Regions from separate parts of the Mus musculus genome. Here regions 2, 3, 4, 5 and 6 are each reported to be linked to region 1. Evidence: microRNA targets listed by miRTarBase, many of them from high-throughput screens and not tested one by one. Region 1 holds a microRNA gene; each other region holds the end of a gene's coding sequence.
What was found. Region 1 holds the annotated microRNA mmu-miR-697 (AACAUCCUGGUCCUGUGGAGA, at 2,523-2,543, shown strand). A microRNA usually pairs through its seed, bases 2 to 8, with sites in the 3' UTR of a target mRNA and lowers its output. Matches are read on the target gene's strand: a 7mer-m8 pairs with bases 2 to 8, a 7mer-A1 pairs with bases 2 to 7 and ends in A, and an 8mer does both.

Region 1 (4,948 bases):
CTTCTCTGACACCACTAACCCTAGAACCTGAAGTTTGTCCACCTGAGATAGTGCAGCACTGCTTGGCAGTGTCGGCCTGTGTCAGTCCCAGCCCGCTGTGTAGACACACCCCAGAAGGAGTGCTGCCTTTCGCTGGGGTAGGGTCTATGGTAGAATGAAGTGGGTGCTGCCTCAGCCATCCCTGTTTCATGCTGTCCCTCTCCTTCCCTCCAGGAGTGGCGTCATGCTCATGGCATGAGGTGTTTGGGCATCCCAAACACTGCCCACTTTGCAAATGTGACACAGATTGAAGATGCTGTCTCCTGTAAGTAAGCTTGCCGACTGTTTCCCTAGCCAGACCAAGTAGCCGCTCCTACAGCTGTCCTAGAACCCTGCTGTCTCCAGGCCCAAGAGCAGGGGTTGTGGCTATAGAAAGCTAAGGCACACATATAATTACTGCATTTTTTATGGGAGCGAGCAAGTCAACAGTACTGATTATATCTCCTTGAAAAGAACCCTATGCTGAGGTTAGAACAGGGTCTTTAGCCTGAATCTATGAGCTTTCCTCTCTGGAGCATTCTGAGAGAGTTATTTGTTACTCTTCTGAAGAGACTTTAATGTGTTCAGAACCACTGATCCAGAAGGAAACAGAAGTGGCTCCATGCTCAGATTCCTCAGAGAGTGACAGCAGCGACGTACTCATTGGAGGAAGGGCCGGGGGTGGGGTGGGGTACGGCAGGGGAATGTGTGCCAGGTGCTTCACCTTGCCTGGCAGCCTCTGCTACTGACACCTTACTACAGGCTCCTTCTCATCCTTACTGCAGGCTCCTTCTCATCCATCTCTGTTAAGTTTCACTTCATGTGAGCCAGACAGTTGGTTTTATTTATTGATGGGTTTGGTTTGGTTTGGTTTTGTTCTAGACAGAGTCTCACAATGTAGCTTGCCTGTCCTGGAACTCACTCAGTAGACAAGGCTGGCCTCAAACTCAGAAATCCGACTGCCTCTGCCTCCCAAGTGCTGGGATTAAAGGTGTGTGCCACCACGCCCGGCTCATCTTACTTTCTTAAAACTTGCAGAACCACCTGCCCAGGGGTGTGGCAGCACCCACAGTGAGCTGAGCCATCCCGTGTCAGTCAGTAATCAAAGTGCAGCACAGCCGGGCAAGGTGGTGCACGCATTTAATCCCAGCACTCAGGAGGCAGAGGCAGGCGGATTTCTGAGTTCGAGGCCAACCTGGTCTACAGAGTGAGTTCTAGGACAGCCAGGGCTATACTGAGAAACCCTGTCTCGAAGAAGAAGGAAAAATAAAAAAAGAAAGTGCAATACTGAAAATCTGATGGGGTATTTTCTCACTTGACGTTCCAAACTAACCAGGACAGAGGCTGAGCATGGAAACAACTCCTTTAATCCCAGATCTCAGGTGACAGAGACAAGATCTCTGAGTTCCAGGATAGCCTGAGCTCGAGGACAACCAGGACTACATAGAGAAACCCTGTCTCAAAAAACAAAACAAGCTGGGCGGTTAATCCCAGCACTTGGGAGGCAGAGGCAGGCGGATTTCTGAGTTCAAGGCCAGCCTGGTCTACAGAGTAAGTTCCAGGACAGCCAGAGCTACACAGAGAAACCCTGTCTCGAAAAACAAAAACAAAAAAAAACAAGACAAAACCAAACCCTAAGCAGGACGCATGTGTGATGCCTTCTAAGCTATGATCCTGTTCATTTTATCCAAGTTTCTCCAGACTGCTCCACACTGCTTCTTTTGAGAGTGTTTCCTTTTTACTGTTGTAATCGTTTGTTTTGTTTTTGAGGCAGGGATATTCATTTAGCACAAACTGGCCTCAATCTCACTATGTAGCCAAGGCTAGCTTTAAGCTTCCTGATCCTTCTTCCTCTGTCTCCCAAATGCTGAGGTTACAGGTGTGTACATCACCCTGATTTCATGAGATTTTCTTTTACAGCAAGGTGAAATCATGATAAATTTCTCAATAAAAGTTTTATCTACAGGTAGTTCTAGATCAGAATTCCATTTGGGGGCTGGCAGTCATTAAAGGAACCTTCAGGGAGCTGGGCGGTGAGGGTGAGAATGACGTAACACTGCACAAGTGGACTGTGGGCCCTAATGACTGCTTATCTCCCATCCTGCAGTGTGGGCCAAGCTGAAACTGCAGAAGGCTTCAGAACGGTGGCAGCCTGACACCGAGGTGGGTGCTAATGTGGAGAGTGTTAGATGTGGCGTCAAGTGACAGCTTCCTCACCTTGCAGAGGAAATTCTCTGTACTAGCAAGTGTAATGAGACAGTGTCTACAAGGTGACTGTGTGAACCTGCTGCCATGCATCTAAGTCTTTGTCATCAGGCAGTTCTCCCACTGAGGACACCAGTCTCCTGTGCTACCCTAACGATTTCTAAAGAAGTCTGTCACTCTTAGGTCTCTGAGGAAAGCATCAGGTCAGAGGTAGTTCTCTCTTCAGAGTGGGGATGTGTCCTGGATGTTGGTCTTGACAGGTCTCAGAGGTGACTACCACACATTGAAGGGGTGGCGGTAACATCCTGGTCCTGTGGAGACTGTCATAGTCTCCTTTATTCTATGTCAGTATTTCAGTTCTGATTTTTCGCATCAAGAACCCTTTCAGCTACAGTGTAGACCTGAAACACAGACTGGCCACCCTGTTGACTCCTGCAGTGGCCTGTGGTCAGAAACCCAGGCTTGGGGACCATTTCACACTGCTGTGTTTGGTCAGCCCTTCCCTGCCAGGCTGCCTTGCCTCAAACGCAGGGCGTTACTTGAAAGACTATGTAGGGATAAGGGTGAGCCACATCTGGTGCCACTCTGGATATCTAGAAATAGCATTGGTTCCCTCTTGGAACTCCGTTGAGAAAGCTATGTGAAGTTAATACTGGTTTCCGGGAACCAGAGTTTGCTGTGGAATTCAGTGTGGAGCTAACAGAGCCATACCTTTTCAGGAAGAATATGAAGACTCCAGTGGAAATGTTGTGAACAAGAAGACATACGAGGATCTGAAAAGACAAGGGCTGCTCTAGTGCTCGGTTCCCTGAGAAGCCTGAGAAAAGCTTCCCCAACCAAATGTTCTTAAAGACTTTTTGCTATGTAGTATCTACCTTGTAGAAACCTTGCAGATTGCAGAGTTGAGATGTGTTTTATCTTTGTTTTATATTAAAAAGATCTGTGGGAAAATAAAGCCAGCCCTTGTTTTGGATGTGTTGTTTCTGAAACCCAAGTTTATGAATTTTTTGTTTTTCTTTTTTGAGACAGGGTTTCTCTGTATAGCCCTGGCTGTCCTGGAACTCACTTTGTAGATCAGGTTGGACTCAAACTCAGAAATCCACCTGCCTCTGCCTCCCAAGTGCTGGGATTAAAGGTGTGTGCCACCACCACCCACCCAGCCTAGGTTTATGAAGTAACTTCGTCCTTTTTGTTTTGTTTTTTTTTAATATTTAATGTATGTGAGTACACTGTTGCTGTCTTCATACACACCAGAAGAGGGCATCTGATCCCATTACTGATGGTTGTGAGCCACCTTGTGGTTGCTGGGATTTGAACTAGACCTATGGAAGATCAGTCAATGGTCTTATCCACTGAGCCATCTCTCCAGGCCCCATCCTTTTGTTCTTAATGCCTTCTAGCCTTGTTCTCACCAGCTTCCACAGTGGCTTAGATTTAGGAGGTAGTTATTACTGCCTAAATATGATTCTGTATGTGTCTCACTGACAGCCTAGGCTACCAACTCCCATCTATCCTACCTCAGCCTCCTGTGTGCTGAGATTACAGATCTGTGCTGCCACATTGGGCATGTGTCAAGTAATTGAGACCTAACTTTTCTCCCCGTCACTGCCACTTCCCAAATGAGCATCATGCCAGCATGAACTCTGCCCCCAGTTGAGTGCCAGCCATTGGTGTGCATACAAGAGCAAACAGGAGGTTGAGCTAGGCCTGAAGGCTTAAAATGGCTTCAAGGTTTGCCTGTTTTATTTGCATAAAGAAATTAGCTATATAGTTGGCCTTAGTCCCAGCACCTGGGGACAGAGGCAGGTATCTGAGTTCAAAGCCAGTCAGGGTGACAAAGTGAGACACTGCCTTAAAAAAATAAAAAAAATGAGCTGGAGCCAGGTATAGTAGCAGAGACCCGCATTTGAAGCTTCCAGACAGCTCAGGCAAGAGGATGGCTGCAAGAAGGAGCTGCTCTGGGTTCAGCACCTGCTATTCCAGACTGCAGAAAGGACTAAGAAGCTCTGCCCAACCTGTGAGGACAGTCACTGAAGGTTGAGTAAAATTACCCAGCGCCCTCTTAGCATGGTGACCCTAAGCTAGTTTGCTTTTCAGGCATTACTTTGAAGAACCCCAACTCTGGCTGGCCATCCTCCATCTTCCTGTTGTCCTTGTCACGCCTCTGGCAGCAAAGGTCTCACCGCTCCTCCTCTGAATTACATTACTCTGGCCAGCCCATTCTTTGTATGGCACCTTATGCTTTGACTCTGCCAGTCTTTAAGAGCTAGATGAGCAACCTCCCCTGGGCTTGTGCAGCAAGGAGCCCATAATCACATCTAATTGAATCAATTAGAAACTGATTGATGGAAACCAGGCCGAGGTGAAGGGAGATGAAGCAAAGCCTTGGGATGGAAAAGCAGGAAGCCCCCAGGCTACAATTGTAGCCCTACTGGGCTGTCAAGGAATGCTCCATTGCTTTGTAGCTGTCATATCCCGCTGAGTAGGTGCCTGAGACTCCAGGGTTAATGAGATGCCCTGTTGTGGTATGGAGGAGAGGTAGGATCAGAGCCTGAGGAGTCCTATGAATTATGCCAGAAATGCCTGGCAAGGAACTGGAGCTCACTTGTTGCAGCAAAGTCTGCTTTTTTTTTTTTTAAGATTTATTTATTATTATATCTAAGTACACTGTAGCTGTCTTCAGATGCACCAGAAGAGGCTGTCAGATCTCATATGGATGGTTGTG
Region 2 (4,948 bases), not on the chromosome of region 1:
CGCTGGCCACAGGGCATGGTTGCACAAGGCCCAGCTCACTGTGCTAAGGTTTCTGTCACATTGAGGGGAACAGATCATTTCTCAGAGCTCAGCAAGTAGTCTTTCATTAGAAGCTTTGAAAATACAGGGGTTGTTGTTTATCATTTTCTGGGCAACAAGTAGTGCAGAATATATCAGACTCTGCCAACAGGAGCCTCCTGAACACACTTCCTGGCTGTGTACACTCTGGAAGCGAGAATCTCCATGAAGGTGGGCTGAGGCCTGGCCTGCCAAGGGCAGGACTCTGAGCCTTAGAAAAGCTGAGGGGTCAGGGCACCACAAGCTAGCTATTGAAAGGCACATTGTGAGCTAAACAGCAGAGACCTGTGCTTATGTAATCTTATGTAATATATAGGTTCCAGGTTGAGGAGAAAGTGTCTCAGGTGAATGGGGAGGTGGCAGTCAGTCACTATGTCCTGAGCTACTTACCAGTTAATCCCATCTGTGTCTTGATCAAACAGTTTGTTTATTTTATTTGGACCAGGGTTTATTTGCAAGACGACGACAGTTATTACTCACAGAAGGGCCACATTTATATTATGTTGATCCTGTCAACAAGGTCTTGAAAGGTGAAATCCCATGGTCACAAGAACTCCGACCAGAAGCCAAGAATTTTAAAACTTTCTTTGTCCACACGGTGAGTCTATCCCTATAAGGCATCTTACTGTAGCCTCATCATAGGCTTCTGCATCTCTGTTGTAAGTGGCCCTTGCTTTGGCCAAGGAAGCATCTAGGGTCAGGTCAGCTTCCTGAGTCCTAGAGACAGACCTATATGAACAACTTAGGCCTGAATTGGGCCAGAGATAGATTTCTGCTTGATGTTGGTTTCTGGTAGGTCACCTGCCCACATATTTTAGTTCTGCACTTGTAGAATGAAGAAGCCCACTGTGCCCACAGGCTTCAAAAAGGTGCTGGCAGCATTGACAGCAAGATAGGCTGGGTGGGGACTGGACTCCCTGAGGGACATCAGATGCTCTGTTTTGCAGCCTAACAGGACGTACTACCTGATGGATCCAAGCGGGAATGCTCACAAGTGGTGCAGAAAGATCCAGGAGGTTTGGAGGCAGCAGTACCAGAGCAATCCAGATGCTGCTGTGCAGTGACGTGGCCTGCGGCCGGGCTGCCTATTGCTGCCAGGATACCTGCCCCAGCGCGGCTCGGCCGCCACCCAGGACGCTTCCAGACCACCTGCCAGCCATCTCGTGGAGAACATAGATGGCAGAAATCTTGCAGCTTTTTTATTTAAAAGAAAAGAAAAAAAAGAACCCAACCACACAAAGAACAAAACAAATAGCCAACAAACAGGAATTCAGGGTCGCTTTGCTTGCTCTCTGTGCTCTGTGGTGGCTTCCATGCACTGCTGTGGCCATGGAGACCCAGCTCCTTGCACGGTAGCCCAGCTTTTGCCCAGACCAGTGGCCAGATTTGGCATCACCCGCCCCTCTTAGCATCCACAGGAACTGCATGCCTGCCTCTACCTTTCCCCACCTGATACACACAGCTCCTGCTGTGACTGAGGGACGGGGTGTATCTGGCCTACCCTAGTTGTTGCAGAATCCTTCCCCAGGAGCCCCTTCACTCCTGCTGGGGTAGTCACCAGCTTACTGTGGGTACAGGGCTCTTAGCTTGTATGTGTTCTCCCTTCCTTGAATCTCTTGTATGGCCCTAGAACTTTGGTCAGGTGTGTTTATGGTGACATGATTTCTGTGGTTCCTGCCTTACAGCAGGCAGGTTGTATGGTGAGAAGAATGAAGGCTGTTGTAGTTACAGGTGCTCTTACTGGGCTCTGCTCTAGTGTTCCACTTCCTAGAAGTTTATCCAGTGAACTAGACACTAAGCCAAGCACATGTCCAGGAGGGTTGCTGTCGCACTAGCACCTAGGTAACACCAACTAGATTATTATCAGGTACAGAATCCTGTCCTGAACCTGGGCAAGGCTGGAGGTACTGTAGAGAATCCAGCTTGGGCCACTGCTTCCATGTAGAGAAGTGGGACAGCAGGCCCTCCTTGGAGTTTCTGCACAGGTTTAGGTGAGTAGACCACATGCCCTATGAGGCAAGCACCGAGCAAACCCTAGGGTGTGCCTCACCTGCGATGCTGTGGGCAAACACTTCTCAGCTGGTCCATTTTTACAACGATTGAAAATCTAGAAGCCTTCTCATGTTGCCTGGTCACCTACTCCATAAAGTGTGGGCCTTGCCTGGAAAGGATGTTATCACTGTCCTGCTCACAGGAACAGCCCTCTTAATCTGAGCCTGCCTATGCTGGCATTCTTTGCCAGTAATGGGACACTTCTTTTGGCATTTCTTGCAGAGTGCTTTTGAGGGACTTGGCTGTACCTCTCTTTGACTAGGATATCCCTGAAAGTTGGCCCTTGGTGTCTAGTGGAGAAAAGTAGGCATCTCCCATCTGCTCACAGTAGCACCTCAGACTCCTATGTCCCAATGGCAGCAACAATTTTGCCATTTCTATTGACTTTCACATAGGCGCCCCCAAACACACACAACAACAGAGGTTACCCTGTTCTGTCTACTCTACAGTGACTACCTGTGGGCCAGGCCATCTAAACTGAGAGGGGGAAAGATTCTACTTCAAATCTTTAACAACAAGAGTGATTCTGTTCAGCTGGGGTAGAGTGAGGATGAAAAGTCAGCCACCACTCTGTGGCAGGGTTGCTGGGTGGGAACAGGGATTTTATTTAGACTCAGCTAGATCGTGTGAGAAGAGCTTCAGGTGAGCAAGGAGCAGGACCTCACTTGCCAGTAGAACCCACAGAACAGGTATGGCCTAGGATGCTGTCAGCCTGAGAGTGAAAGTGGGCACTCATTTCTCCTGGTTTTTGAAGAGCCTGTTAAGTACACTTGGCTATTTCCTCCTTGGAGTCCTGTTCTTGCTCACGCCTTGTGGCTATTTTGCCCTCAGAGTGCCCTGTATCCTACATTTGTACATGTAAGTAAGAGTGGCTTCCTGTCTCTCAGGTGCATGCAGACACAGGGAAAGCATCTTTGAGGGCATTTAACTACAGGGGAGCAGTGGACTGAGGCTTGGCTTGAATTAGACCACAAAGCTGGCTGTATATGGGAGAGTCCTTTGTTGCTTCCTTCCCTGGAGAGCAACACTACCTCCTGGGCTTTACCAAGCACCACCCTAACCTCTAAAATCAGAGTTCAGCTGAGCTATTAGTAGTGGGTGGTCACCATGACTGCCCAAGCTACAACAGCTGATCTCTTCCCAGGTCACCTTTGTCCTTACTGCCCCCTTTTCCTTGATTTTTTTTTCCTTTAATGAACCATGTACATTCATTTCTTAACCTGGCTTAAATCACCTTCATTTTTCCAGTCATCCTTAGAGCCGTCACCCTGTGTGAAGGTGCCTTACTTTGTAGGACAGGATGTGGATGTCAGTTTGTACAACTCGTGTGTGTGTGTGTGTGTGTGTGTGTGTGTGTGTGTGTGTGTGTGTGTGTGTGTGTGAAACAGTAAATTTGGGATGTATGTAAGGAGAGAGAGAAATACCCTGTTAGTACCTCTAGAAATCATGTGTCCTAGGAATGGCAAGGATGGAAAGAAAGTTGAAGACTGTTCTCTGGCTTCTCCTACCTAGGTACAGCAGACTGTAGTACCTCACAGCCCACTTGAGCCCTGGCTTCTCTCAGCATCACAGATGAAACTTAGCTTGAATGGGTCAATTCCACCTGTTTTTCTGTGCTCCAGCTGGGCAGTGGGCTCCCCATGTAGAGCTGAGCCTCTCCACTTCAGGGTGTGGCATCATGGCTCAGATGTCATTTTGAGCTAAAACCCAGTTAGATGCAGTAAAAAACCACTTTGAGAGATGGCTTGTGTTAGGCTGAAACTGATAGAAACGTTAACTGCTGCAGCTCTCTTTGGGCCACCCTAGTGTTTGTGATTCATGCTTGAAGTAACCTTGCCGACAGTTGTGTGGCACAGACTCCCAGTACCAGCAAGGGGGCCGTAGGTAATTGTGTGCTTTCTTAAAGAAGTGTATGTTTTCTGAAAGCAAAAGAATAAAGGAAGGCCCGTCATTCAGAGACCACTGTGAACATTTGGATGTAGATGCTGTTCTCCCTAACTCTTTGTTCCAGTGCTGGGAATTGAATAGTGAGGTTCAGGATTGCTAAGCGAGTGCTCTACCACTGATGTGCATCCTTAGTCCTTGTTTGCTTTCTAAACCAAACTGGGAACACATACAACATTCATCATTTTACATCCAGCTTTTTCACTTGACTTGTTTTCTCTTAAGCATTTCTCCATGCCGTGGCCGTGAGTAGTTCTTCAAAAGCATGTTTTTGATAATTGTGGAGTCAAGTGGTTGTAAATTTATAAGTTATGCAGTTGTTTCCCTGTTGTAAAACATTCAGATGGTTTTTGGTTTCCTTTGTGTTTTGTTTTTGTTTTTGCTATTTAAATAATGCTGTGGTGAATATACTTCTAAGTCTTTGATTTTTTATTCTGATTTTGCCCCTTCCTCACACACCTGAAGTGGTATTTTGGGTATTTTTTCCTCCTCCTCGGTCTGATGTTTAGACCCTCTGAGTTCCAGTTACAAACCTACCTTCCTTGTGTCCTACGGACTTTGAACACATCAGTTCTTGCTAAGTTGTGTGTTCTCAAGAAAGTTTGACTATGGCTGCTTTTGTTTTTAATGCTAAAAATGTCATTACTGCAGATTCCTTTGTGACAGATTTTTTTTCCAAAAGCCAGTCTTTTCATTTGCATTGCAAGAATCTGCTCCTGCATGTTACTTCTTTTCCATCTTTGCTCTAAGGCTTCCAAGTGCTTGGTGATGTTTTCAGAATCTTGTACTTTGTGTCCACGATGGTACTGAATCTGCTTCTACACAGTCAGCAGAGATAAAGTGTTGAACTGACCTTGCTACATGCCTAATGGAT
Region 3 (4,948 bases), not on the chromosome of region 1:
TCATGTCTGTCAGAGTAAGGTGAAGACTCAGTGGGAAAGTAGACGTGGAAAGAGGGAAATGATGAAATAATGGTAGCCCTTTTGAATGAAGTGTCTGCTGTGTCTTGCATTATATTCTGAGCTGTGTGTGCACTGGTCACTTAAATAAGTGAGGATAGAGCTAGGGGCTAGGGAACACGCCTATAACTCCAACCAGTCAGGAGAGTCAAGGAGATCACAAATGTCAGGACCCCTCAAGGTGGTGTAAACTGAGGATTTATATTTGCATACGAAGATAGCTCCCTGACTTTATGCCACATGATTAGGAGTGGGTAAAATACTCTGAGAGACAAAAGCAAAGTGGTATAGGAGATAGCACCCCCATGAGACTTGCAAAGATCCCCATACTAGATATCTGACTCTACCATTTACCCAATGTGCTGACATCAACGTTGCTTCACAGTAACAGTCATCTGTGTTGTGTCTCTTTTAGAAACCCTTCACTGAAGCAGCAGCTGTTCTCATATGCTATCCTGGGATTTGCCTTGTCTGAAGCTATGGGTCTCTTTTGTTTGATGGTTGCGTTCTTGATCTTGTTTGCCATGTAACAGAAATTACTGCCTGAAATGTTGGCATTCATAGTAATTACGGATGTAATTCTGTGTATCTTGCTGTGACTCCGAAGACTGTAGTACTGGTGTCATGGAAATATATGTTATTTCCACAGTCATTTCATTAAAGATGAAAACTTTAATTCTTGCTGTGATTTGTACTTATATAAGTGTGGATCATCATAAAGATGATCTGTTGAGGTAGGTGGTTGTCCAAGTCAGAGGAAGGTACAGCAGTTACCCTGGTTTTGAAAAAGTGATGAATATGAAACATTGAAAAACACTTAGTGAAGTAGACCAAGCAAAAGACCCATAGTGTGATTTTGTTTGTATAAAATAGGTAACTTTGTAGAGACTAGGCCAATTAGAAGTTATTGGGAACTCTAGGAGCATGGAACTGTGGGTGACTGACTGTTAGTTGTGGAGTTTCATTTTGGGTGATTGGTGCTTGAACAAGGTTATAAATGCACAAAACCATCTCATTACATGGTTACCATAAACCAGGCATGGTGGCGCACGCCTTTAATCCCAGCACTTGGGAAGCAGAGGCAGGCGGATTTCTGAGTTCGAGGCCAGCCTGGTCTACAAAGTCTACACAGTGAGTTCCAGGACAGCCAGGGCTACATAGAGAAACCCTGTCTCGAAAACCAAAAATAAGAAAAAAAAGAAAGAAAACCAGTAGGTGAGTTTCCTACTGTTATGAGTAAGCATACAGAGATGTTTGGAAGGGCTGGGAGTCATTTTCCAGGGAAGAGATCACTTGAGAACACTGCTTGTCTCCACCTTATGCTAAACCTTGAGTAGCAAGAGGACCACCTAGTGAGTGGCTCAACTGCAGACTTAAAAACAGAAGAGCACTGGCACATGAAACATTGCCAGGAAACAGTGTGAGCTACAGGTGAAAGGTAGGCTGGCACACAAATGCACAAATTAGCAGATAAATGAGTTTTATCATGTGATCACAGACAGCGGGGCATGGTGGCCCACGCCTTTAATCCCAGCACTTGGGAGGCAGAGGCAAGCGGATTTCTGAGCTCGAGGCCAGCCTGGTCTACAAAGTGAGTTCTAGGACAGCTAGGGCTAGAGAAACCCTGTCTCGAAAAAACAAAAACAAAACCCCTTGGAGCTATGTTTAGAATTATTTAAGGAGACCAAGGTGGTCTGGTGCTTGTGCGTGTCTTTAGTCTGGGAGGGAGAGGCCTCTGGATCTCTGAGTTGAAGGCCAGCTTAGTTTAGAGTTCCAGAATGGTCAGAAAAAGACCAGTGTGGAATGGCTTGAAGTCAGCAGTACCAGTGGCTACCACAGCAGATCTTCTAGTGATAAATAGGATGTTGTGTGGCAAGAAATTTCCTGGGGAAATGGCAGGTAAGGGACCCATGGCAAAACAAGTATGGATACTACCAAACCCTAAGTTGAACCAATGAGTTTTATTGGGATTATTTACACGTATATGAGTGAGGGGTTACTGTAGCAGAGATGTCTCAAAGGCAGCCGCATCACCAAAGCCCACTCTGGCACCCATGACAGCTCACAAATCTAGAAACCTAGAGCACACTGCAGCTTGTGAGTTTACCTTCATGCTTAAGAAACTTCCCTACAGGATGGAATGTTGCAGTCCCCAAGGAAACTGTTAGACACAGAGGCCTTAGTCTAGGATGGTGGCCACGATAATTATAAAGGAACTTCACAGGACTGGAGAGATGGCTTTGTGGATGAGAGCACTTACTACTGTTGCAGAGGACTGGAGCACTATTCCCAGCCTCAGTTGGGTGCTCACAACCATCTGTAGCTCTAGCTCCAGGAGATTTGAGTCCTCTTCTGACTTTTGCCCACACCAGGCACACATGTGGTGCACATATACACACAGGCAAAAGTACATACACATAAGATTAATTTTTTTTTTCACTTGGGTGACTTTATTTATTATATGTAAGTACACTGTAGCTGTCCTCACACACTCCAGAAGAGGGAATCAGATTTCATTACTGATGGTTGTGAGCCACCATGTGGTTGCTGGGATTTGAACTCAGGACCTTCAGAAGAGCAGTCAGTGCTCTTAACCTCTGAGCCATCTCTCCAGCCCAGCCATCTCTCCAGCCCTAATTTTTTTTAATTTTAAAAATAATTCTTAAAAAGAAAATTTCAGGGCTGGAGAGATGACTCAGCGGTTAAGAGCACTGACTGCTCTTCTGAAGGACCTGAGTTCAATTCCCAGCAACCACATGGTGGCTCCCAACCATCCATAATGGGGTCTGGTGCCCTCTTCTGGTGTGTCTGAAGAGAGCAATGGTGGTGTACTCATGCATAAAATAAATGAATAAATCTTAAAAAGGAAAAGAAAGGAAGAAAGAAAAAAAAAAAAAAAAGAAAGGAAGGAAGGAAGAAAGAAAGAGAGAAAAGAAAGGAATCTCTAAAAGTATTGGGACCTGCCTAGATCTCTAGGGCCAGTCAGAAAAGACAAGGGTGTCTATTCCCTACTACTCCTGAGAAGAAAGGCTTCACACATATACTGTCAATACTCAAAACAAGCCTGCAAAATTAGGAAAAATCAGTTCATTTCCCAAATTATTTGGCCATTGTTTGGTAGTACCCAGATCTGAGTTCATAACTCCCTGGGTTTCAGAACCCATGCTAGGGTTTTCAATATGATTATGTCCAGGATGCCAAAGAGAAATTAATTTGGGGAAATAAAGAATTTTGATTTTTGTATAATTTTAAATATGAGAATCTTAGAAGTAGACTTGGTCCTGTATAGAGAGGACCAATGCAGTGTGCCTAAAAGCTGTGAATACAAGGTCAGAGTGCAGGGTCTGAGAAGTGGCTCAGTTCAGAATGTGTGGCTCAGCCAACAACTGGCTCCACAGTCAGTTCTCTTGGGAGAACTGCTACAGTGACTGCTATAAATAAGGACACTAAGAAAACCCACTTGCGTTTTTGATGTCTTCATTCTCATGACTAATTGAGATTTGTCTACAGGGATAGGATTGTTAAGGTGGAGTAGAGAGTAGAATAAAGCACATTATTTGAGAAAATGATGTTGAATCTCATTTGCAATAATTGTAGGATTTAATTTCATGACATCTTCCTTGGTGTCTTAGTTAGGGTTTTATTGCTGTGAACAGAGACAATGACCAAGGCAATCCTCCCCCCACCCCACCCCCAACAGGGTTTCTCTGTGTAGCCCTGGCTGTCCTGGAACTCACTCTGTAGACCAGGCTGGCCTTGAACTCAAGAAATCCACCTGCCTCTGCCTCCCAAGTGCTGGGACTAAAGGTGTGTGCCACCACTGCCCAGCCCTTTTTTTTTTTTAAGGTTTATTTTGTATATGTGAGTACACTGTCACTATCTTCAGACACACCAGAAGAGGGCATTGGATCCCATTAAAGATGGTTGTGAACCACCATGTGGTTGCTAGAATTGAATTCAGGACCTCTGGAAGAGCAGTCAGTGCTCTTAACTGCTGAGCCATCTCTCCAGTCCCAAGGCAATCCTTATAAGGACAACATTTAATTGAGGCTGGCTTACAGGTTCAGATGTTCAGTCCAGTATCATCAAGGCAGGAACATGGCAACATCCAGGCAGGCATGGTGCAAGAGGAGCTGAGAGTTCTACAACTTCATCTGAAAGCTGCTAGCAGAATACTCACTCCCAGGCAGCTAGGACAAGGGTATTAAAACTCACACCACAAGGCCACACCTACTCCAACAAGGCCACACCTACTCCAACAAGGCCACACCTCTCAACAGTGCCACTCCCTGAGCCAAGCACATACAAACCATCACACTTGGTCTTTGTTCACCTGAGCTTCTCTTGACTTCTCCTAAACAGCATTCAGTGCCTGTCAAAATTCTCTCCAAAAGTTAGCTCATTATGACTTGAATTAGAAGCCAGTAGTGATTTGTCCAAAGAGAATGTGGAAAGATATTTAATGTGTAAAACATATTTTACATACAGGAAAACTGCAAATGAAGGGCTAAGCATTTATAAATGACACACACTTCATTTCAGCACCTGGGAGACAGGCAGGTGGATCTCTAGGGATTCCAGGTCAACTTTGACTAAAAAAGGGAAAAAAAAAACAGCTTTTAGTCAAACAAAAAAATTTTTAATACAGAAAGGGGATGGTAGAATTGAAATTTCTAAGACTTTTATTACAGAACTCATTCAATAATAAAATAACTGGACACTAGCTAGTGAATACTTTTTCATACTTTAGATTAGTGGTTCTTAAATGTCAGTTGTGACCCCTTTCTAAGGTTTCAACAGCCCCTTAATAGAGGTCACAGATCAGATATTCTGAATATCAGATATTTATATTATGACTCATAACAGTAGAAAATTACTGTTATGAAATAGC
Region 4 (4,948 bases), not on the chromosome of region 1:
CTTTAACCTGACCAGCTCGCTACCCGTGCGCCAGCCCTGACCTCCTGTGGTCCTTTCTCACCCCTAGAGCAGGCTGCCCGTCTGAAGAAACTACAAGAGCAAGACAAACAGCAGAAAGTGGAGTTTCGGAAAAGGGTGAGAACAACTGGCGAGAGCAAAGGCAGCTTCTGGAAGGATTTGCAGTAAGAGTTGGAAGGCTGAGGACTTGGTTGTACTGACAGTGCCTCCAGATGGTGGAACTAAAAGCCCCTCGCCCGGGAGCTGGGAGAGTGGTGGGAGGTGTGGAGAGGCCGTCCATCGGCCCAGGAGATCGTGGAGCTGTCATCTCATGTCCTTCCCCTTTGTTTCTCCTAAGATGGAGAAAGAGGTGTCTGATTTCATCCAGGACAGTGGACAGGTCAAGAAAAAGTTTCAGCCTATGAACAAGATAGAGCGGAGCATACTGTGAGTGTCTCTGGGTTGGGGTGGCAAGAAATGGGCAATAGAGGGCGTGAATGAGCCAGTGGGGACCAGTGGAGATCAGACTCCTCATGGCTCACTTACTCTCCTGCCTTCTCTTTACAGACATGATGTGGTAGAGGTGGCTGGCCTCACATCCTTCTCCTTTGGAGAAGATGATGACTGTCGCTATGTCATGATCTTCAAAAAGGTAAAAAGCCTGCCGCCGCCACCCCCTGCCCCCGCCCCAGCCTATCCCTGCACCTGAGAGGAGTGGCATCCCTCATATATTTGGATCTTGACTCTACCTTTCTCTTCATCTCCAGGAGTTTGCACCCTCAGATGAAGAGCTAGACTCCTACCGTCATGGAGAGGAGTGGGACCCCCAGAAGGCTGAGGAGAAGCGGAAGCTAAAGGTGAGCTGTTCCTGGCAGGCCCTGGAGCCCGTAACCATCACCTGGAAGAGGCCATCTGGGTCAGGGCCTTGAGCACCGGTACCCTACCTCTGTGCCCTTAGGAGCTGGCTCAGAAGCAGGAGGAAGAGGCAGCGCAGCAGGGACCTGCGGTTGTGAGTCCTGCCAGCGACTACAAGGACAAGTATAGCCATCTTATTGGCAAAGGAGCAGCCAAAGATGCAGCCCACATGCTACAGGCCAACAAGACCTATGGCTGTGGTGAGCCATGGCAGGAGCTGGGGGAGGGATGGGGGAGAACGTAGTTTGGGGGAGGGGAGCAGAGACTGAGGTCTTGCCCACTCTCCCCTCTGCTGCTAGTTCCTGTGGCCAACAAGCGGGACACACGGTCCATAGAGGAGGCCATGAATGAGATCAGAGCCAAGAAACGCCTGCGGCAGAGTGGTGAAGAGTTGCCAACTACCTCCTAGGCATCCCGCCCACCTTGCTTTGACCTCCAGCAAGGCAGGGGCATGGAGGGACAAGGCTGCTGCTATCAGGACCCATTCTGGAGCCCCATTTCTAACCTATGAGGCCCTGCCAGCTGTCACTCAGGCTGGAGGAGAAGCAAGTGTTTATCACTGCTGGAATTTGGATGTATGGGGTGTGTGTGTGTGTGTGTGTGTGTGTGTGTGTGTGTGTGTGTGTGTGTGTAAAAATGTGTATTTAATCTGTATTATTCTCTATTACCCTTGGAACTTTCTTCCCCGTGGGCCTGGGTTACTTTACATTGAATAAACACTGTTTGACCCAGTGTTCTGACTTGTACCTGGAAATGTGGATACTAGTCCATTGATGGCGCACACCTTTAATCCTAACACTTGGGAGGCAAAGCCAGGTAGATCTCTGTGAGTTCGAGGCCAGCCTGATCTACAGAGAAAGTTCTAGGACAGCCAGGGCTACACAGAGAAACCTTTTCTAGAGAGGGGGAGAGGGAGAGGGAGAGGGAGAGGGAGAGGGAGAGAGAGAGAGAGAGAGAGAGAAGAAATTGTGGGTATTACCTCCATAAATGTGGATTCAACAGTATAACGTTGCTGTTTGTTTAAGCTAAAGATGGCCAATTATTAGCACTGCTACTGTGACACTTTCACATATTTTATTCTTGTGATACTAGATTGAACTCAGGGCCTCATGCCTACTGGGCACTCACCGGGAAGCCAGCACGATGTTTCTTTTTTTAGATTATGTGTATGAATGTTTTACCTGCATGCAAGGATCTGCACCGTGTGCGTGCCTGGTGCCCGTGGTGCTCTGGAGAGGGCATTGGAGCCCCTAGAACTGTAGTTACCAATGGTTGTGAGCTGCCATTGGTGCTGGGAACTGAAGCCTGGTGCCGGTAAGAGCAACAAATGCCCCTAACCACTGAAGCCCCTAAGCTTGGAATCTTGAGACGGGCCCTTACTCCATCTCCCAAGGCCTAAGATTACGGATATAAGCCACCACACCCAGTTAAGGCTGAAGCCAGGCATTTTGTGTCCTAGCTTTTCGAGTTGCTAACTCTGCTGTGTTGAGTAAGATACTCAACTCGTGCCTTGGCTTCCTGGTGTGTAAAAGGGGGATAGATTGGTAAATGGCTGACAGGACTGTTTGAAAGCTTCTGTGGGTTAATACTGTCAAGTATTTTGAACACTTCAGATCCTCACAAGCTCCACTGAAGTGGTAATGATCTCATTATCCTTTAATCCTTGAGAAGCACTCAGTCTGGCTGCAGCCTGATCCAGATCCCTCCAATGCTGGGAGCACCAGGACCCTTCCTCGGCCCCTCTCCATCCACCGCTGTCTACTTGGGAGCCACTTCCACCTCCTCTCCAGCTCCTTTTCACATACAGTTTTGCTTTCTCTAGCTTCATTCCAAACTTTGAAAGTCTCTATTCTACATCCACTGAGCTTTCAAATCCCTTACTTCCTTGTCACAGCAGGTCACATGATATTCTCTGCCTTCTTCCCTGTCTCCCACCCCCACCCCACCCCAGCCCTGTCCTTCCTGGCGAGCTTGTCATTCATTCCCTCCTAAGGAACACAGCATGGTCTGGTTTGGCAGTGTTTATTTCTGGGAGAAGGGCTTGAAGGCCTGTGTCTTTCCTGTGAAAGCCTGGAGTCTCCAGCTCCTCATTTGGCCTTTGGATTACGGAACTTTCTTCCAGCAAAGACAGCTTTGTCCCCAAGAGCCTCCTCAATCCTACAATACAAAAAGAAAATCAGAGCTCCTACTTTCTAACCCAGGAGCGCCTTCCTCTCCCCACGGTCTAGGCCTCTGCACAAATTGTACCTCATAAGCTGGTTGTATTTTGCCAGACGCTCTGAACGGCAGGGAGCACCAGTCTTGATCTGAGGTGGGAAAAGGGTTTGGAGGGGTTGGTTTGGGCCCCAAAAGAGCAGGCTGTAGTGGTATCCAACTTAGATGGCCCAAGTGATACCAAGGTGACCAAGGAAACTTGGTTAGATACTCAGTAGAGAGAAACCCCGAGTACCTGTCCTGTGCAGAGTCCCACCACAAGGTCAGCGATGAAAGTGTCTTCGGTCTCCCCAGAGCGGTGGCTCACCATCACTCCCCAGCCATTAGATTGTGCAAGTTTACAGCTGTGTGGGAAAGGCATTTGATGAGACCTTATGTGACCACCTCAATAAGAAAGTCAGGGGCAGGCAAGATAGAACTTTCCCTTTGTTTGGGCAGTGACTAAGTTCTTTGGGAAGGAGGAGAGATTTCTGATCTTGGATTAGAGTGGTCAGAAGATGGCAAGCAGAAGAACACAAAACAGAAGGGAGGTTAAGGGACATGGCAGAGCCACAATGGCAAAAGTCTTAGAGCCAAGTTGGGGGTCAGTCATAGCCTAGGGGTTCTGAGGCTTGAGTAGGTCAGGGGCCCTGGGAAAGGCACCCATGGAAGAGCAGCAGCAGTGGCTGGAGCCGGGGGGGGGGGGGGGGGGGGGCCTGAGTCAGGAGGCACTCACGCCTGGATGGACTCCGTCACGGAGCCGATCTGGTTGACCTTCAGGAGCAGGCAATTGCAGGCCTTCTTCTCCACAGCCTGAGCAATCCTCTTGGGGTTGGTTACCGTGAGGTCATCTCCCACAATCTGGATGTCCACCCCAGAGAGGAATGAGGTCCATGTGGCCCAGTCATCCTGGTCAAAGGGGTCCTCAATGGAGACCACTGGTAGGGAGTTGGGAGCACAGATGGGGTTAGAGACAGGGGCCTGATAGAGGGGTGACAGGTAGCAGAGGTTAAATGGAGGCTACGGATGAGCTAAAGATGGGAAGGACAGGAATTGTGACAAAGCCAAATGCTGAGAGCCATGCTAGGTAACCGCAGAAGACAAGGGCGGGGGGAGCACCCGGCCGTCTCACCGGGATAGTTCTGGATGAAGTTCTTGTACAGCTCCCCAAGCTTCTCCCCACTGATGTGCCTGGCAGGGTCATCGGGTGACTTGAAGTCCAGATCATACTTGCCGTTGCGGTAGAATTCAGACGCAGCTACATCCATGCCGATCACCACCTTGTCCGGGTAACCGGCTGCCTGGATGGCTGTCTTTAGCAGCTCCAGGGCTGGGAGAGGAGCAAGAGATGACCTGAGACTCCAGTATGGCTGTATCTGCAGCCTCTCTTTCCCCCCACCTCAGGGGCACTCAGGCACTCTGCCCCAGGATGTTCAGCACTGACCCTCATTGTTCTCCAGGATGTTGGGTGCAAAGCCACCCTCATCCCCCACGTTGGTGGCGTCCTTCCCATACTTGGCCTTGATGACCCCCTTGAGGTGGTGGTAGACCTCAGCGCCGATGCGCATGGCTTCCTTGAAAGAGCTGGCTCCCACTGGCAGAATCATGAACTCCTGCATGGCCAGCTTGTTTCCAGCATGAGAGCCGCCGTTGATCACATTAAAGGCCTGGGACACAGAAGTTGGTGCTCAGAGCTGGGTGGCATAGGGGTCAAAGGTGAGAGGGAACTGGAGGTGACAGCTGCGCTCTGCTCCCTAGTTCAATGGTCTAGGATGCAGCACTGCACTCCTAAGAGCCTTTCTCTCTTTCTACAAAATGCTAACAGTGCTTACTTCCCTACTGC
Region 5 (4,948 bases), not on the chromosome of region 1:
CTGCTACCATGGCCAGGGACACAGCCACCTCAGGTCAGCTCTCTCAGGCTGCCCCTTGGGCCTGACAAGAAGATGACCTCATGGGTGCTGCACAGTTCCTACGCAGCTAGGAGGTCACATCCAGTCCCCAAGAAACCTGGGACACCAGCAAGACCCAAAAAGTTTTGTCCCCAGGCCTTTAGCCACAGGCACAGCCCTGGACGCCAGCTCCAGGAAGCTGTGACCATGGGGCTACCTGGGGTTGGCAAAGGCAAGTAGGAATGGGCAGCATGTTTTCCAGCAACAAGCGATGATCCTATGGTCTAGCGAGTCCCAGGCATCAGGTCAAAGCCCAAGCTCACTTTAGGTGTGTCCCTGACTCTGTCCTCTGCCCTATCCCTTATCTCAGGAAGGGTACCTGTGCAAGATGGGAACTGTCCAAGACCCTGAAACTAAGTTGTTAACCACAGGGCCTCCCAGCCAAAGCCAGCCATCTACCACCTCAGCCAGGTTAGCACATGCCTTTAGCTGCTGCCCAGCCCCAGGGCAGTGCTAGGGGGAAGGATAAGCATAGGGGTGAGACCAGGACATGGAAGAGGCTGTCATGGCCACCAGGGCATGGCCTCGCTACACTCAGGGGCCAGATCTTAGAACATGCAGGCCAGCCTCTTGGCCTACAGCAGAGACGAGGCATCTGCAGAGACACATGCCTGGGCAGTGGGAGCTGCCTGGGAACAGTCAAGCAATGGTATACCACATCTGAGCTGTAGGGTCATCCAACACTGACATTCTGGGACATTCCATCATCTCTTTTTCCCTCCCTACTCTAAAGTTTCCAAGCAAACAATAGGACTCCTGGAAGCCACAGATCCTGAGCAGAGAGTCAGACCCCAGGCTGGCCTTCCCTGGGCCTTCCCAGGCCCAGAGTACAGCTGCTGGCCACCTCAGGTGCTTGGAGGCTCAAGGGAGGGGGAGATGGCCAGCCAACTCAGAGGAGGGGCACCAAGCACATGGCCACCAAGTGGAGCAGAGAGGAGGGCCTCCACAGAGGTAGAAGAAACATCAGAATCTCAACAAACAGAAAATTCACATCAGTGCACATGTGCAGAGCACTCAGAGCTCTGGCTGGGATGATGGAGTGGACACAGTCAGGCGCAGCCATCAGCACACTCAGCTTCCGCCAGCCCAGGGACACAGGTATGTCTCCAGGGCCTCAGGCCCTGCCAAGCTACATACTGCCTGGTGAGGCTCCATCCTGATGCAGCTGGAGCCTACCCCACCATCCATTCCTGGAATCTCTACCAAGTGTTGGCAGCAACAGAAGGCAACGAATACTTGAGAGCCCAGCAAACTTCCCTTTATCCATGGGTTGTTCAGCAGGGAGAGATCCCCTTGGAAAGGTGCCAAGAGGCTGGAAGGGCCACGGCTTCTCCCAGGCTCCTAGGCTGGAGGAATCTACTATGAGCTCATCCCAGGTCAGTATCAAGGAGACATGGGTGGCTACAGGATCCCCAAGCTCAGCCCTGGCCCAAGTGATCCCAGTGCCCTGCCACACCTTCCAACCCCAGACTGCAGGCCCCAAAGGCACAGGATCAGAGAAGTCTTGGCAGCTGGTGGTGTCCAGTAGACCTGGCTCCCACTTAGGCCTACCCAGGCCTCAGACCCACCAGCAGTCTCTGACCCCACAGGCCTCAGACACCAGCAGTCCCTATACCCCCACAACAACTAAGACTAGCCCCGAGCCGAGACCAATCCAAACAGAAAAGAGAAAAAAGGCACAACTGTTTGTTTTCCATTTTGCTAAAACACTTTACATCTGTCTGTATAATCCAGATTAACAAAATCTGAGAGCTGCAAGAAAATAGGGTGCCAATTTCTGTACAGTCTACAAAACTCCCATCCCCAAGCGGGGACCGGGCACCACCAGGGAGGAATGTACAGGGGAGAGCGGGGTCTGTACAGTGTTCTGCAAATGCCTCAATTGCTAACAGGACAAAAGGCCCCTCAGGAAGCTGGGCTTGTTCCACCAACTCATTAACTCTAAAGAGCCTTTCTAATAATGTAGCCTTGGTGCCAGGGGCCCAGCTCTATGGTCTACCTAGCCTGCCACTCCTCACCCCAAGCCCCACACAGAGGAATGTGGACGGGCCTTTATGCACCCCCTGCACTAAAGCTAAGTCCAAGTTTCAGCTGGCCTCATGACCACTGCCAGCTACTGCCTTTCCCTGTCCTAGGCCATACCCACCCCCATCTAGGCTGGATCTGAAGTAGAACCTCAAAAAGGAGAGGCCAGGAACAGTTGACCTAGCAGAGTAGTCTGTAGTGGGTGATACCTGGACCCACCCCAACCACCAGCTTCTTCCCCCGAGGCAGTGCCCAGCCCTTCCTATGAGGCTTTAGGACCCTCCAGTCCCCTCAATCCTGCATACAAGGAATCAAGGGGCAACCTGAGCCTCACAGACTGTGTTGTGAGGGCACTTTAGGGGTGTTTACACTAAATTAGAGTCTCCTTCCATACTTCAAACTGAAATCTTCCACCTACCCGGCCACCCACCCCCATCAAATGGGGCCAGAGACCATGCGTATGCTAGCACCACACAGATGTGTGTCTGGAGGCTCAAACTACCATTTTGTCCCAGTAATTAAAGTCATGCAGAGTGCTATTCTGTCTACGTAACTTATTAGAGAATGGGTTGTTTCAGGCTGGGAGAAGCTGTGGCAGGCATTGCCAACAACAGCCTGGGCTAGTTACATTCACAGGGCAGACCCCACAAACAGCATGAGGCCACAGGACCTCAGGCAGCTGGGAGGTGGCCACCTGGTCTAACAGGTGTTGGGGGAGGTGTCCCCCCCACCCCCATGAAATCCCCACCATGCTGTGCAGTGGATTGCTACAGGAACCAAACCCGGGTGACCAGCCAAGTCAGCCAGAGCAAGGAGGCACGGGGACCAAAAAGGGAAAGAGGTAAGATGATTTCGAAGCAAAGCAGGAGTGGATAGAGCCAGGTTAGGCCAGGCCAGGCCTCACCAGAGAGTAGACAGGGTCAGGCAGGTAGGCCCTCCAGAGGCCAGCTCAGGACAGGACAAGGGAGCTCACCAGCTCAGGCCTGAGGTCCAGGCTGGGCAGGATAGTGGGGCAGGGGGCTGTGGCATGCGGCATGCTGCAGCCAGGCCATGTCCTTAGCATGCACAGGGCAAAGCAGGGCCTGGGACCAGCTCAGCCTCCCATGGGGCAGTGGCTGGCCAGCCCAGCAGACCACTCTTCCAGAGGCCAATAGTTGAGCCTTAGCCTGGCTGGGGGCCAGGGTTCTGCTCCTTGGGGGGGGGGGGGTTGTTGTAGAGGTTCTGTGCTTGATGGGCAAGGCTAGTCCTTCCCTGATGGAGGCAGGCTGGGCAGCTTTGTGGATAGTTCAGATGGTCCACAATGCTGCTCTTCAAGGCATGATGAGCCACTCTGATGGGCTGGGGAGGCAAGGGCCATGGCTGCAGACAATCCACCCCACCAGAGTGTTGCAGATGAGCACTCTGGACTGGGACCCTGTGGCCCCAGAACCAGCCAGGTGATGAACCAGCATGATGCTGAAAAAGGAAAACCCAAACAAATGCCAAGGTGAGCATTGGAAAGCAGGGCCGCACTAGGCAGTGAGCAAGAGGGCAGAGGTGGACGGGGGCAGACAGGGTGGTGGGCAGGTGGTGGTGGTCACTCCTCGCGCAGCTGCAGGCGGTAGCGGTGGTAGCGGACCTGGAAGAAGAGGCGCTCGGCCAGCGAGAGGGTCATGCCAGGCAGCACGTAGTGATCACTCGCGCCCATGTGTCTGAAGCCCAGTGACTCATAGAGCTTGTGGGCGGCCACCTTAACGGCTGTGGTGCCCAGTACCACTGCAGAGTAGTTGTGCAGCATGGCAAACTCCAACACCCTCCTGCCCAGAGCCTTGGCGATGCCTTTTCCGCGGAAACGCGAGTCCACGGACATGCGGAGCAGCTCCACTGTGTTGTCCTCCTCATGGGCCCGTGCGGCCACGATGCCCACAACGTTGCCGTCCAGCACAGCCACCCAGAAACAGGAACCTAGGAAGGACATGACAATCAGGGATATTCTGCATGGAAGACTGAAGAGACTTTCGAGCTGCCCATTCCAGCTGAGTGCCAAGTCAGGGTATCACAATGATGCTCAATCCTCACCTTTCAGCTCTTTTGGACACCAGGGGAGGCCACGAGACACTCCATAAGCCTCAGTCCGGGCAAACCTGCCCAACTTTGCATGACAGGATCCCACCTCACAAGCAGACACAATCAGCTCCAGCCCAAGTCTCTATTGTCCTGGCCAGAATAGTAGTTGGAGGTGCCTAGGAGCTGCACAGCCCTTGACAAAGCAAATTCCTACCCCCAGACCACAGGAAAACCCACAGACAACCACAGCTAGGGCCACAGGGCAGAGCATGTCTTGCTGACATACTCTGAATCCCAGCCCTTGGTCTGCCATACTCCTCCCCCAGTATCTTTGCAGGGATATAACTGAATGAGAACCCAGAAGAATGTTTTCTGACCCAGCGAGGGACCACAGACAGCCACACACACCCCAAACCCAGTAACCCTGACACCAGGCTAGCCAGCCCTTACAAGAAGGGAGGGGGCGAGAACAAGGAGTTTGGATGGGAGGAATTCTGACGGGCATGGGACACAGGGAATCCAGTCACCTTCCTGAACTAGAGGTACATGGTCAAGGGGACACCCTGAGACCTTTCTGAAAGATGAAGGCTAAAGGATGGTAGGGGGGAGAGAGCGTCTGGCCAAGCCAAGAGAGTGACTTGCTGTGGGAGATCTGGCCTCCCTTGGCCTTACCCACTCCACCTCCAGCCTCCTTCAGAGGGCTTATGCCAAAAGCTCTGCACCTGCATCTGCCCTAACCCAGCAGGAGGAAGCACTCCTCCCTACACTTCTTACCTCTGGGGAAGCCGGTGCCTTCAGG
Region 6 (4,948 bases), not on the chromosome of region 1:
TCCTGCAGTTTGTTCCAATCGAAATGGGACTTTTAACTGGAGACTTACCTAGTCGCCTGACTCAGACATCTTCACAGACCCTGTTTGCTCCTGGACAGACCCGAAGTAGAAGAATGTTAAGGCAGTCATGAGTGTTCACCAGCTGCTGGGACATTCAGTGCAGCCTTGGGGGCAGTCTGGAGCAAGAATTCTGAAAATCCACTTATATGACTGAACACTTTACACCCTGGTGTAACCCTGGCCTGGCTGGACCTCAGTCTGCTCAAACTGCAATGTCTCAAGGACAGCAAAGCTCGAGGAAACTCCAGATAGTACAGTATCAAATGCCTGCTGTCTCAAGTGTCGGGTGAGATGGAGCAAGTGGACCTGGATGCAAGGAGATGGAGGGGGTTGCCTGTGCCCGAGGATCTGCTGAGCTTGCAGTCAGGCAGGTAAAAGAAGCAGGGATGTGCATGAAGCCTCAAGTGCTGGGCTGGGGGTGGGGGCTGAAATGATGAGAAGAGTGTTTTGGGGGAATTTAGTTCTATTTTAACTTTAAGGAAGATGAGAATTCCTCAGGTTTGGGATCACCTTGGCGTGTCACTGGCCTTGAAAGGATCACCACCACCCTGCACGTTAAAGGGACCTTTGCTACAAAACCCAAATACCTAGTAAGGGATTTGTGGGTGCTGGAGGGTGCCAACAGTGCATTAGGAAGGACACTCCCCCACATACACAAACCACTCAGGTTTAACCCCTCAAGAGCTAGCCTATAAAAATATTTTAAGACAAAAAAGAAGTCTTAAGCCCAGCTGCAGGGCATCCCACCCTGCAGCCAAGCTGGTCACTGCCTTTACTTTACCTTGGAAGCAGGGTGGGGGAGGCACTTAGTAGGGCAGAGAGTGCCAGGTTGCCACCATTTCCTGGGATAAAGACTTTTAAGTTTCTGTAGGGGAAGTCAGAGTTGCCCACATGCCAAATGAGGGACTGTATAAATGTTAGTGATGAGCTTTAACTACTATATAGTAAAAAGGAAGCAAATCCTAACACTCCAACTCCTTATGGGGAAGGGGTCTGACCTGACTTCTCCCTGCCACTCTGATTCACAGACAAAAACATTTCTTGTAAAGAAATGGCCAGGTGGCAATATTTACAAATGCTAACCAGGTTTGAAGTCAGTGAGGAGATTCCCTAGCCACAGTCCAATAGAACAGGTAAGGTGCACAAACTCTGCTTCATTTGATACTAAATTTGATCCATGACCACAAGTGTCCTGACATCTTCCAGTCCAGTCCTCTACATATAAAAGCAAAGAGTTCTGTGCTGTACTAAGTCACTAGCCACTGCTCTCGGTGGTTAGTTCTTTATACCCAAACACAAGACCTCTTTACCCACGTGAATAAGCCTTTTTGCCACAACTAGCATAAGAAGTTACTATCTGGAAATGCCACTAATCTCAAATAAAATAGAACATGGGAGGAGTAACCCCACACACTGTTAACTGTGCAACCAGTGATGCTTCACCGTAGCAGATAGAGTGTGTACCGGGGAAAACATGCTAAGATATGTGGTCATACTGTCTGGACAGTCTCTGTTCGATTGTTTAGATAAAATTTTAGACCTTTCATTACAGTTTCCTTTTCCCTGGAATTTCCTAGCACCAACCAATCTTACCTTCTCTGCTTGCAGCAGCCCCATGTACCACGTTCTAAGCCTGTTGCTATGGATATGCTCCAAAATTATCACAGGCATGGTTTCTAAGGCAGACTGACCCACATGTTCTAGCTCACTTCAGGCAGACAGAAAATATTTTCTTTTCCTGGCCCTAGGATGCTGCATCCTGAGACTCCTCTGGCAGTTGGAAGGCAAATGTGGTGCCTTCTTTTGTCCACTACTGGCAATACGGTGGTGGGTGTTTAGTCACTAATTTTGTCCCCCGAGTCAACAGAAAGTCACATGGCTATCTAGTAGGAAGTCCCTGGCAGTGGAGGAAACAGAAATTTGCTTTGTTGTTGTTGTTCAGTATCTCCTCTCTGAGACGAGGTGCCTTCTGGTTGGTCACAGTCTGGCTCGGTGCTCATCCCACGGGCTCAGGAGCTGGGCTCAAGCTCTGGGCTGATTGATTAGGTCTGGGCTGATTGATTAGGTCAGGGCTCTGGACTTTTTTCTGCAGCAGAGAAGATGAATGAAAATTCAAGTATGTTTCCTTGCCAACCTGAATATTACTCAGGATGACGCAGAGTTTGGCTTCTTCTCTTCCAAGTGCTGCAAATCAGACTCTTTCCATCAAAAATGTCCTCTGGACCCACATTTTCTCTGAATGGCTTGGCTGGCCCATCCCCCTTGAAAAAGAAAAAAAAAAAAAAAACAAACCCCCCAATATAACCAGACACAATATGCATCTGCCATGTTGTTTATAAAATAAAAACAAAAACCCAAAAAACTAAAAGTGCAATAAAGTCAGTTTCCTTTCCTTTGCTCAGAACCACAGGCATATTTTGCTACAGCCCGGAGCAAGGGATCTGCTTGTCAAAAAAGCTAAGAACGCCAACACACAGGGACAGTAGACTGCAGACTGCTCACAGCTTGTGTCCTACAGTGTAACTTCACAGGAGGGAAGGAGGGAGGGAGGAAGGGAAGGACAAAGGAAGGGACCTGAACCCTGTGGCCAGCTGGGCTGAGGGGTTACCCAGGCACAGAGGGAGAGGAAGCCACACTACCAGACACACCTGGGAAGTGGAGAAGTTCTCCAGCCCAGGGCTGTCATCTTCCCCTATCTTCTTGGCCACACCACCAGCTTCTTGATAGAGCCTTTAGCTTAGTAGTTTCTTTATGCTGGAGAGGGTTGAGGATGGTGCAAGAGCCAGGAGTAAAAAGGGGGGAAGAGAATAGTAGTCCTTGAGTTTTTGTGAATGACACCTTCACTGTAAACAATGGGAAGAGAGTCAACCAGATAGCCCAAGGGCAAGCAGTGGAGAAGCAGCAGCTCTGGACCCGCTCAGAGCTCAGACAGAGGGGATTGCCACTGGCCCACTCGGCCCTGGCTGCCTGCACTGGCTCCTTCTGGGGGCATCTGTTTTCTTCTTTTTGGTTTGGATCTCTACCCTCCCCCACAGAGGAGTCCCTTCCAATGAGAAATGGCAGGAGCTGCAGGTGCAATTGGAGCCAGAGTCCCCAGGACTTGAGGACTCCTGGGAGGCACTGGTCACTTGTGTCGCTGGGCTGTCTTCTTCCTTTTCCTCTTAAAGAAACAGCAGCACCTGGAGCACAAGAACATGTTAAGTCAGCCTAGAAGCCTCAGCTCTGAGCAGATCCCTGCCTGCCTCTGCTTACTGCGGGAGATGGGTTTTTTTCCTCCTGGTGCCCACCCACATGGCCGCCCGCCATCTATAGTACACATATACTGGAAGTAGCAGGCATCTGTCAGGAAAGCTAAAGGCAACAGCTGATTTGAGTTGCAGCCACTCTACCAGATCATCAAAATGCTGTTCTCTAGGCATGGCTGCCACAGGCATTCCTGGAAGAAGGGATAAAGGTGGCTTTGTTCTTAGACTAACATCTAACCTAGATACTCCATCTTTGTCTAGAACCAAGATGGAGGGTGCTCAGGGTAACAAAAAAGCAGGTTGCACTGGATGCCCCTTGATACCAGCAGCAGTTCAATGTAGCTCACTGGTCAGTAGGCAAGGAGGCTAAACTGAGACAAATATATCTCACACAAAGTATGAAATCTAGAATCCTGGCAATCACATGATGCCAACAAAAGACTAAGATCCCTTCTACCTTGTTCTTGTCCCCAACATGAGGCCTGGAGTAAGCAGAAGCTCTAGCTCATAAGGGGGTGAACTTTCATCTCCTGACAGCAGCACATGTGCCAAGCATTCCAAGGGGACCAATGCCCGAAGCCCAGGAGCTAATAACCCTCTGGAAACTCTAGTCACAGGGAATTCCCCAAGACTGCCACTGTTCCAGACAGGGTTAGCAACTGGTTTAAGGTAGAGGCTGAGGCCCTGTGGGTGCCATGCCATGGAGGACCAGCCTGTAGAGGAGTGGCAGTGCTGGCGTGCCCTAACTCTGAGGATGCCCTCCTCACCCAGCCTTTGTACCCGGGAGTGTAGCTGTGTACAGGCACTGGAGAAGAGACATTGAGGGCCATGGCAAGGTTGATACAAAGGTATGCTCTGTCCAGAAATGACAAATGGGAAATGAGAAGGGTGGGCAGAAGGCAGAGGATGAGTCAGCGGTGCCAATAATGAAGGGAAGAAAGATGTGAGTAGAGCTCATCTGATGCTTGATCTTTGAAAGAAAACTCGTTCTGAGAAAATTATCTTTAAGTCTCTTCCCTAATCCCTTCAGAGTTGTTTAACATTACTTTTGTTATTTTATATAGATAAGTGTGTTTGCCTGTCTGTATATGTCTGTGTGTCACGTGAGTGCCTGGTGCCATGGAAGCTTGAGGACATCAGATTCGTAGGACTGACTTACAGACAGTCATGAGCTGCTGTGTGGGTGCTGGGAGAAGCGACATATGCTCTGGAGGAGCAGCAAGTGCTCTTCACTGCTGAGCCATCCGCCCAGCCCTGCCTCCCAGAGTTTAGTGAGTAAAAGGGATATCCCTACAGAGACACTACTACTCCCTTCCAATACTCCTACATCAGCCTGCAGCTCTCACCCTCCCTTTAGAACCCTGTGTTACTGTGTTATCTTTTGGTGTTTCTAAGATTTTCATCACTAGAAATCTGGATAAAGTTTCTTTCTTGAAATTTTCTTTTGAGACAAGGACTCATTATTATGTAGCCAAGGCTGGCTTCAAATGTGCAATCCTCTGGCCTCAGCTTCCCAGAGTGGTAGGATTTACCTAGAGGGAGAAAGTTTTCCGGAATGCTGAAATAAACATTTAAATAGATAGCAATTTGAACTTTAAATGCAATTTCAAGCAATTTGAGACAGGAGGTTCTTAAGAGAATTT

Region 2: the mRNA of Pdpk1 is a reported target of mmu-miR-697. Seed matches in the 3' UTR shown: 7mer-m8 at 2,246-2,252, 7mer-m8 at 3,428-3,434, 7mer-A1 at 3,527-3,533 and 7mer-A1 at 4,105-4,111.
Region 3: miRTarBase lists Atp5g3 as a target of mmu-miR-697. Seed matches in the 3' UTR shown: 7mer-A1 at 629-635.
Region 4: miRTarBase lists Spag7 as a target of mmu-miR-697. Seed matches in the 3' UTR shown: 7mer-A1 at 1,484-1,490.
Region 5: miRTarBase lists Nat8l as a target of mmu-miR-697. The part of its 3' UTR that is shown has no 7-base or 8-base seed match.
Region 6: the mRNA of Csnk1g1 is a reported target of mmu-miR-697. The part of its 3' UTR that is shown has no 7-base or 8-base seed match.

What each region holds. Positions count from the first base shown.
Region 1 is chr4:124,729,246-124,734,193 of GRCm38, forward strand. It overlaps Mir697 (microRNA 697), which reads left to right and starts at 2,449; the gene lies at 2,449-2,557. Sf3a3 (splicing factor 3a, subunit 3) reads left to right here. Exons shown (of 17, transcript NM_029157.3): 15 at 214-304; 16 at 2,126-2,181; 17 at 2,943-3,178. The coding sequence ends at 3,020.
Region 2 is chr17:24,075,220-24,080,167 of GRCm38, reverse strand. It overlaps Pdpk1 (3-phosphoinositide dependent protein kinase 1), which reads left to right. Exons shown (of 14, transcript NM_011062.4): 13 at 524-676; 14 at 1,026-4,948. The coding sequence ends at 1,142. Among named protein-coding and RNA genes, the nearest start is that of Kctd5, 4.2 kb to the right of the region's middle.
Region 3 is chr2:73,904,232-73,909,179 of GRCm38, reverse strand. Atp5g3 (ATP synthase, H+ transporting, mitochondrial F0 complex, subunit C3 (subunit 9)) reads left to right here. Exons shown (of 5, transcript NM_175015.3): 5 at 473-733. The coding sequence ends at 587. Among named protein-coding and RNA genes, the nearest start is that of Atp5g3, 4.6 kb to the left of the region's middle.
Region 4 is chr11:70,660,484-70,665,431 of GRCm38, reverse strand. Spag7 (sperm associated antigen 7) reads left to right here. Exons shown (of 7, transcript NM_172561.3): 2 at 68-135; 3 at 356-444; 4 at 565-649; 5 at 765-854; 6 at 956-1,112; 7 at 1,212-1,663. The coding sequence ends at 1,321. It overlaps Eno3 (enolase 3, beta muscle), which reads right to left. Exons shown (of 12, transcript NM_001136062.2): 7 at 4,550-4,772; 8 at 4,238-4,435; 9 at 3,842-4,043; 10 at 3,362-3,470; 11 at 3,160-3,218; 12 at 2,919-3,069. The coding sequence ends at 3,000. Among named protein-coding and RNA genes, the nearest start is that of Eno3, 5.8 kb to the right of the region's middle.
Region 5 is chr5:33,999,879-34,004,826 of GRCm38, reverse strand. It overlaps Nat8l (N-acetyltransferase 8-like), which reads right to left. Exons shown (of 3, transcript NM_001001985.3): 3 at 1-4,047. The coding sequence ends at 3,680. Among named protein-coding and RNA genes, the nearest start is that of Nat8l, 6.4 kb to the right of the region's middle.
Region 6 is chr9:66,037,868-66,042,815 of GRCm38, reverse strand. It overlaps Csnk1g1 (casein kinase 1, gamma 1), which reads right to left. Exons shown (of 14, transcript NM_173185.2): 14 at 1-3,239. The coding sequence ends at 3,185. Among named protein-coding and RNA genes, the nearest start is that of Ppib, 20 kb to the left of the region's middle.